Linked DNA regions of Canis lupus familiaris. The protein of the gene in region 1 binds, or shares a complex with, the protein of each later gene. Links are inferred from orthologs where the notes say so. Each region holds a gene or a part of one and is shown in the gene's direction. Other genes may lie near its edges.

Region 1 (4,132 bases):
TGCCCGGGCCCCGACGTCCGAGTCCCCCGGCCCCGTCCCCTGCACACGCCCCCCCGCCGCCGGCGACCCGGGCGCGGCCCCTAGCGGAGCGTCCCGGGGCAGGGGCAGCGGGCTGGGCTCGGCGGCGCGGCGGCGCGGCGGCTCGGCCCGGGCGGGGGCGGCGCGGGGGGCGGGGGCGAGGCCCGGGAGCGCGCGGGGGAGGGAAGCGGCGCCCGGCCGCGGGGGCAGGGGGAGCGGCAGACGCCGAGGCGAGGGACGCGCGCGGCGGGCGGCGGCTCCGAGCGGCGGCCGGGCGGGGGGCGCTGGAGGCCGGGCCGGCCGGAGGGCATCCCGAGAGCCCCATGAGGTGCCCCCGGGGCCGCGGACGGGGCGCTGTCCTGGGGAGGCTGTCGGGGGGTCCCCGACACCCATGGCTGGGCGGGGGCCGCGGCGGCGCGCTCGGAGTAAGTCGGGGTCGGGGCGGGCGCGGGCGCGGGCGCGGGCGCGGGGGCGGGGGCGGGCGCGGGGGCGGCGTTGGGTTCGGGGCGGCTCCGGGCCTGGCCGGGCCCCGGGCGCGCTGCTCCGTCTCGGTGTCGGTCGGCGGCGCCTCCTCGGAGCCCGGTGGAGCCGCCAGCCCCGTGCCGCTCGGCTCCGTGGCTTTTTTGGAAACTTGCAAATGTTTTCGTAGAGAGAGAGAGAGAGAAGGGGGAGGGGAGGGAGGGAGGGAGCGAGGGAGTGACCGACACGGAGCTCGGGGCTGCTGCAAGAACGGAGGCCAAGGCTGGGGGAGCTGGAGACGGACGGACAGGCCGACAGGCAGAGCGTCCCGGCCGCGGGCGTGCTCCGGCGGCGCGGGCGGGGGCGGGGGCGCGGGCGGGGGCGCGGGCGCGGGCGGGGCCCCGGCCCGGGATGCGGAGAGGGCTCGGGAGGCAGCCGCAGGCACGATGGGGATCCGAGGGGGGCTAAGGGGCACGCGGCTGGCGGCCGGAGCACCGAACGGCTCAGCGTCGTTGCAAAGTTAGGATCGCGTCCCTAAACTGCACGCCCCGAGCGACTCGAAACGCGCCCCCCGCCCCGCCCCGCCCCCTCCCCTCCCCGCCCGGGGCTCGCCGCCGAGCTAAAAATAACAGCCCGGTTCGCCCCCCGCAGACCGCGACCCCAACCCCTCCCCCGACCCCTCCCCCACTGGGCGTGGGGCGAAGCCACAGCTCCCAGTTCCCCAAAAGAAAAAAAAAGAAAGAAAAGGCGGCGCGGGGGGGGGGGGCGGGGGGCGGGCCGGGGGCGGGGGGCCCGGCCATATGGATGTGATTTCTCCGCTCCGAGGCAGACGGGCAGCTCCGCAGCGCTCGGCGCCCGCCCGCCGCCCGCCCGGCCCCCGGCTGCCTCCCTTCCTCCCTCCCTCTCTTTCTCCCTTGCGCTCGCTCGCTCGCTCGCCCTCGGCGCATGGGCCCCGCGCCGGGCCCCGGGGCCTCGGGCCGCCTGGCCTCCGGGGTCCCCTAGGCCCGGGCGTGGGCGGGGCAGCCCGGCCTGACGCAGCTCTGTACCCCACCACCACCACCACCAGGGCCGGCGGCGGCGGCTGCCCCGAGGGACGGGGCCCTAGGCGGTGGCGATGGGGGCCGTCCGGATCGCGCCCGGCCTGGCGCTGCTGCTCTGCTGCCCGGTGCTCAGCTCCGCGTACGCGCTGGTAAGTCCCTCGCCGGCACTCGGGACAGGCTGCGGGCTTGCTCTGCGGTGCCTGGGTGGGTCCAGGGCGCACAGTCTTGGGTTCCCTGGGCAATCTGAACTTTGGAGGAACGGCCCCTCTGACCCCAGATCCCCGGTGCCTGCTGTCTCTGGGGTGTCTGGACTCGGCTCCAGATGGCTCCCATCTCCTTATGGCTGAAGCTTGGGTTTGGGGTCCCAGGTCTGGAACTCTGTGGTTGGGGTTCTTCTATCTTCTGCTTCTGTGAGCTCCACTGCTCTGGTTGTGTCGCCTTCGGGGATGACAGTGTGATCTAGCAGTAGACCTGGCTTTGGCCCTGATCGAGGGTCCCACAGATTTGTTCCAGGGCCTCTGTTTTCTGCAAGTTTTGTTTGCGATCCAGGACACAGGGCTGTGGATCTGAGGTCAGAATCCCCTAGGTTAGGGGTAGGATTTAGGGGTCCCCTCCAGCTCTCGCGATCGCATGCACACACGCAGACGCTCTTGCCCAGGGAGGCGAGTGTGATGTGGCCCAGAGGAAGGATGGAGGTCCTCTGAAGGAGACCACCCTCACAGGACACTCCTCCAGAAGAAACATGCTGGAGGGGGACTCTGGTGAGTGAGGGACCCCCATCCTGAGAGCAGAGACCAAGAGGAGACCAGAGAGAGAGAGAAGAGGCAGGTTGGGAAATAAGCAAGAGAGAGAGAAGAGAGACAAAGGGGGTGGAGATGAGAGCTCCCCAGAGCAGAAGGAGTAGATAGACCAAGAATAGCAGAGAAAAGGAGAGACTGGCAGAGGCTGGGGGTGGGGGGGAGCATCCTCCCCCTTCTGGGCCAGAGATGGGGGGCCGGGACCCGGGGAGTAGTCGGATCCCACAGCAGCCCTGTCTCACAGGACTAGCCCGTTGCTGAGGAGGCTGTCTGCCTGTGTGTCCGGCTCCAAGGCCCCTGCTGCCTCCCCAGTACCTCCCAGGTGGGCATGTGCCTTCTAGAGAAGCAGGCAGGCAGGCAGGCAGGCAGCCACCTTCTCCTGACCAGCTCCCTACCCGGGAAGAACCTTAGGCGGGAAGGCAGGAGCTCTGGGAGTCCTCCAGCCCTGCCTAAGGCCCGCGGGACCTGGGGCTATTCTCCACACCTTCTGCAAAAAACTAGCGAGAAACATTTGCCTGAGAGTCCCCTGATTTAAGTGAGGCTCTCTTCTCCTGGGGTGGGGGGCGGAGGGGGGCCCTCAGCGTGGCAAGACCCATTCTCCGGTGCCCATGCCCTCACGACTCTGGCTCCCCAAAGCCAGAAACCTCACCCCATACGAGAACTTATAGATGGGGAAGTCAAGGCCATTTACAAGAAATAAATGCCAGGACCCGGACCCAATTCCCCACCCTCCCCCTTGGGCCAGGCGTGCCTTCCCCACCACCGTCCCTTCCAGAGTGTGTGCCGAGCCAGCCGCAATCTGCGTGCACATCCCTGGGGTAGACAGGATGATGGACGTGAGGGTGCTGAGAGTCGTTTGTTTGTCAGAGCGGGACCGCTGGGACTCTGGGCAGGCTGTTCTCTAGATCCGGGTGAGCGTGTGGCTGAGTCGTGTGTGAACACATGTGTCCAAAGCTGTGGGTCTGCACATGACTTGCAGGGGCATAGTTGTGCACACGCGTGTGTGTGTGTGTGCATTTGTGAGCACATGTGCACCCAGGTCTAGTTCTTATTTTTCATTTAATCAATGCTTTTTTAGTGCTTTCTACTCGTCAGACACTGTCCTAAGCACTTTACGGTATTAATTAGTTTTAATCTTTCCAACAACCCTAGAAAAAAGGGTTTTGTTACTGTTCCCATTTTTAAAATAATCTGAATCACGAAATCAGTAGGACCATCTTTTTTCACGTGCCAATCTATTGCCAAGCCCCGTGTCTCTATGGGAAGGGGGTAATGGGTGCCCAGAGCCCCACACTGATTTCTGGGGAAGCTGAGGCACATGCAGAGAATTTGCCTGGCTTAGCCCTGGGGCAGGTCTGAGGGCAGGGCAGGAGGGGTGCCATGGCTGGATCTGCTCTGAGACCTTTTGGGGACATCCGTGGCTGGACACTGAGGCCATGGGCCTTCCCTGGTTTTAGGGCTGGAGGATGTGGCTCAATGATCACCCAATCCCCTGTAGGCCCCCTGGGCTCAGCTGGAGCCAGCGAGACACTGCCAGCCTGCCAGCTTCTTCTTTTGAACCCGGAGACTGCCGTTCCCATCCACATCTATGCTGATGCCCACCAAGTCCACTGAACTCAGCTGGTGGCCTCTGTTGCCAGACCTGTGTACTGCCTGCCCAGCCAGCCCCGGGAGCAGGCTCCCGTCTCCAGGGACCTCGGGGCTGGGGGATCAAAAAGCATCCCACCGGGAGGAAAGGGCTGTGGCCAGACTCAGCTGGTCCATTTTGTCCTTACAGAGAATAGTAACTGTGTGCTGGGGGCCAAATGGAGTGAATTT
Region 2 (4,008 bases), on another chromosome or scaffold:
GCAGGGGGTCTGCTTCTCCCTCTGCTCCTCCCCATCACTTGTGTACTCTCAAATAAAAAGAAATAAATCTTTAAAAAAAATAAAAAGGAATTACATGAAGCCTGGATAGGACCAGAGCTAAGAAAACTAATCCAATGCTGGAATTTAATTGGAGGCAAGCTGCCTAAATGAATCCTGAATGCATCCAGGGCATTCAAAGGGTTTTGAACTGGAGCAGGCTATAGCAATATTTGAAGTCAAACAGGTGGCAGTACTATGCCTTTGCTAAATTTTAGAGCAGGTTCTTAATTATCATCAGGGGAACCTGAAAGTCAAGACCCAACCCCTGGGCAAAGAGGCTGGTAAAGGCTTGTAAAGACTGGAATGCAAAGAAGAGCTACTTTTCTAGGGAGAAACTAAGATGGTAAGAATCAGAATGGCTCCAGAGTTATAAAGACTTTGATTGAATTCCATCTTCTCCACTTTCCAATCCTTAGTTTCCTCATGTGAAATTTGGGCTAATAACTATTTAAAGGATGACTGTGAAGATGTCATGGGATAATACACATAAAATCTGGCAGATAGTGCTTAGCAAGTGTTTTCCTGCAAATTAAAATGCATACATGAAATTTAAGTTAAATGAATTTTAAAGTAATTTCACATCTAAACCCTTAGAATTAATTACATACAAAAAACATTTTCTCAAAATACTTTTAACACTTCCTTTAAGAAAAGCACTGTGTCTACTTTTTTGGAAAGATGACCAGGAGTAATATGGTTTGACTGAAAATGGCTTACAAAGTAGGAATAACATAATGTGATTATTTATAATCCCCACAGTAATTATACCAATAGTGTAGTTATGACCAATGCACTTATTTTCAGATTTTACTTTCAAATAACTTTGCCATATATCTTTGAAATCAGTCTTTCTTATAATATAAATTCATTAATCCACTCAGAATTACAATTCAGTATTTGTTAGACATCTTTGCATAAACTCTTTTCCGAGGTCCACACTGTTTTCCTTCTAATATCCAATTATTTAAAATTTAAGAGGAATGGGCACCGCCCAGTGAGGGTGTGTGTGTGTGACTTTGAGCCTATAGTTACAAACCAGAGAATTGGGAGTGACATCATCTATGACAATAGAAAAGCTTCTCTTGGTAAGTGGAAGACCTATATATAAAAGTCACACTTGAGAGTCTACAGTCAAATTCATCAGCTTTCACAAGTTTACTCAACTTCGAAAAAGCATCAGCTGCCGATACACCTGAAAGATCTTGTCACAAGACATTGTGTGGTGAGTAATCTTTAGTTTCTCTTTTAAATTGCATCTGAGATTTTTTCATAATTGAATAATTATATAATGTGTACTATTTTCTACAAGTATCATGCTGTTTGTTCAAGGTAAATTATTAAGGGAGAGTTTGAATGCTGTTTAATATAAAATGCCACAATACAAAAGGAATTTATGCTGCTCCACTGCCCTTAAATCATTAGTTTTGGTGATTCAAGTCTTTCGAAATGCCTTGCTTTTTCTAGATTCATCTGAAATTACACAAAAAAATAATTAAAATTGTGCATGATAAGCTCTAATGGTCTCTTACTGAAATTTAAAAAAAAACAGCTTAGTGATGAATGAGTAATTCTAATTTAAATAACCAGTACAAATTTATTAAGTTGTGTTAAAATTCATTTTTCCTGCAGAATATCCTTATCCAGACTGTTTTATGACTCATATAAAACTCAAATCTATATATTATAGTTGGTGAAATTCAGTTTTACTGCTGAATGTTTATTCCCTTTACATAAAGCCTTTCCAAATTTGCTATTCTGAAAACTACATAGATTTTAAGGGTGTTTTACAACTGCTTTTTTTGCTTTTTCATGGCATTCTTATAAGAAGCTCTTCTCTCTACTAAGAACAAGGAAGCCAAGGAGAGATGTCTTAAGTCACTGGGTGACTCTGACAAAGCTAGGACTAAATACCAATGCTTCTCTTCTCCAGCTACAGTGCCTCTTCCTGACATAAACCAACATCGAAGCATCTTCATCTGTTTCTTCATCAGTAGCTTTATATTGCAGAGTGGGAAAAAAATGTAGTAGATTATAATGTTTCTTATGTGACTTCTAAGTGGTGCTGCTTCCCTTTAAAATATGAGTACACAGCCATTCTGTGTGTTAAAATGGAGAACGTGAAGCATTAAGAAAAAGCACTACTGTAATAATAGGCTTTGCAATTACTGAAATGCAGATTAAGGTAAGACTATTCTATTCTGAGATGAAAGCATTATGAGCAAAAGAGAAAAGTGCTAACAATTATACTCAAACAAGACTGTTAATAAAATAAGCCAATAAGATAAACAAGCATTCCATATGGAGCCAAGGCTCTAAATCTGTAAACAAGCAATTAATTAGGTGATTTTAAAATACTTCGACACATTCTTTTTAATGATAGGAGAAATGTGCATTAATTCATTAAAAATCTGTATATTAGAGCCTATTAAGTTGGTATTTATGGATATTATTGCAGGGCCTGAAATGAAGTTGACTTGTGAAAAAAGAAATTTGCTAAGTAAATAAACAGCATTAGTAATTTACCTGGTTAAGAGAATTAACCATTTTCAAGCAAATTATAAGCACTTAATCAGAACCAACATAAAATGTGGAAGGAAATTCTAAAAAGTAAGCCTCTTCATTACTCATGTGGCTTAAAATTCATATATTAAAATTTGTACAAAATTCAAAAAGTTGGGGATCCTTGGGTGGCTCAGCGGTTTGGCACCTGCCTTTGGCCCAGGGCGTGATCCTGGAGTCCCGGGATCGAGTCCCACATCAGGCTCCCAGCATGGAGCTTGCTTCTCCCTCTGCCTGTGTCTCTGCCTCTCTTTCTCTCTCTGATATATATAAACAAAATCTTTAAAAAAAAAAAAAACTCAAAATGTTGCTTAAGAAAGTAAAACTAATTTCTAAGGCAAATTATGTGCATATGTTAATATATATACACAGTAATATATACACTAGTGTATATTATTAATATATAATATATTACAGATATATAATATACTAAATAAAAGAGGTTGATTTTTTTTAAAAGCTCTTATTTATTCCTTCATGAGAGACACAAAGAAAGGCAGAGACACAGGCAGAGGGAGAGGGCCCAATGTGGGACTCGATCCTGGGACTCCAGGATCACACCCTGAGCCAAAGGCAGACACTCAACTGCTGAGCCACCCAGGTGTCCCAAAAGGCTGATTTTACAAGTCTTTTGTGAAAACCAATTCAATTAGTTGTTGTAACACTCTGTGTAGTTGTGTGGTTGTAATGGTAACTACTATAAATTTAACTGTACAGTTTAGCGTATTAAAAATATCTTTAAATATTTTCATTTTGTTTTTCCTTTCAGTGAAGATGATGTCTGCAAAAGACATGGTTAAAGTAATGATTGTCATGTTTGCAATTTGTTTTCTTGCAAAGTCAGATGGGAAACCTGTTAAGTAAGTATGGTACCCTGTTCTGCATGGTGAGGGCATGGGAATTGGATTTTAAGGTTGGCTTTATGATTGGGAAGAAGAGAGTTAATGGAGTGGTCCTCCCTGTTTCTATTCCCTCCAGGAAGAGATCTGTGAGTGAAATACAGTTTATGCATAACCTGGGCAAACATCTGAGCTCCATGGAGAGGGTGGAATGGCTACGGAAGAAGCTCCAGGATGTACACAACTTTGTTGCCCTTGGAGCTCCAATAGCTCACAGAGATGGTAGTTCCCAGAGGCCCCTAAAAAAGGAAGACAATGTCCTAGTTGAGAGCTATCAAAAAAGTCTTGGAGAAGCCGACAAAGCTGATGTGGATGTATTAACTAAAGCTAAATCCCAGTGACGATACATCAGGGCACTGCTGTAGACAGCATAGGGCAACAACATTACAAGCTGCTAACATTTTCAAGCTCTTAAGATTAATAAATGCCAAAATTTACATGTAATCCATTGTTAGCCATGATAGCTGAAATTTTAATTGATTGTTTTGAT

Evidence for each region. The genes of interacting proteins can lie anywhere in the genome.
Region 2: the proteins of PTH1R (region 1) and PTH are in contact, whole or in part, in a cryo-EM structure (PDB 9JR3), measured with the Homo sapiens proteins. The link is inferred for Canis lupus familiaris from reciprocal best matches to the Homo sapiens genes PTH1R and PTH. Residues at the interface, in NP_000307.1 of Homo sapiens: Val31, Met32, Thr33, Lys34, Glu35, Gln37, Ile38, Leu41, Glu111, Trp112, Asp113, His114, Ile115, Ile135, Tyr136, Asp137, Phe138, Arg146, Arg162, Thr163, Ala165, Tyr167, Val171, Leu174, Thr175, Glu177, Glu180, Arg181, Phe184, Leu187; in NP_000306.1 of Homo sapiens: Ser32, Val33, Ser34, Glu35, Ile36, Gln37, Leu38, Met39, His40, Asn41, Leu42, Gly43, Lys44, His45, Leu46, Asn47, Glu50, Arg51, Val52, Glu53, Trp54, Leu55, Arg56, Lys58, Leu59, Asp61, Val62, His63, Asn64, Phe65.

Annotation. Positions count from the first base shown.
Region 1 is NC_049241.1:42,328,088-42,332,219, reverse strand, and holds the start of PTH1R (parathyroid hormone/parathyroid hormone-related peptide receptor precursor), read left to right. Parts: upstream 1-1,327; 5' UTR 1,328-1,591; coding exon 1,592-1,666; intron 1,667-4,132.
Region 2 is NC_049242.1:37,024,120-37,028,127, reverse strand, and holds the start of PTH (parathyroid hormone precursor), read left to right. Parts: upstream 1-1,208; 5' UTR 1,209-1,282; intron 1,283-3,388; 5' UTR 3,389-3,393; coding exon 3,394-3,479; intron 3,480-3,597; coding exon 3,598-3,859; 3' UTR 3,860-4,008. UniProt on the Homo sapiens protein: Parathyroid hormone elevates calcium level by dissolving the salts in bone and preventing their renal excretion. Acts by binding to its receptor, PTH1R, activating G protein-coupled receptor signaling.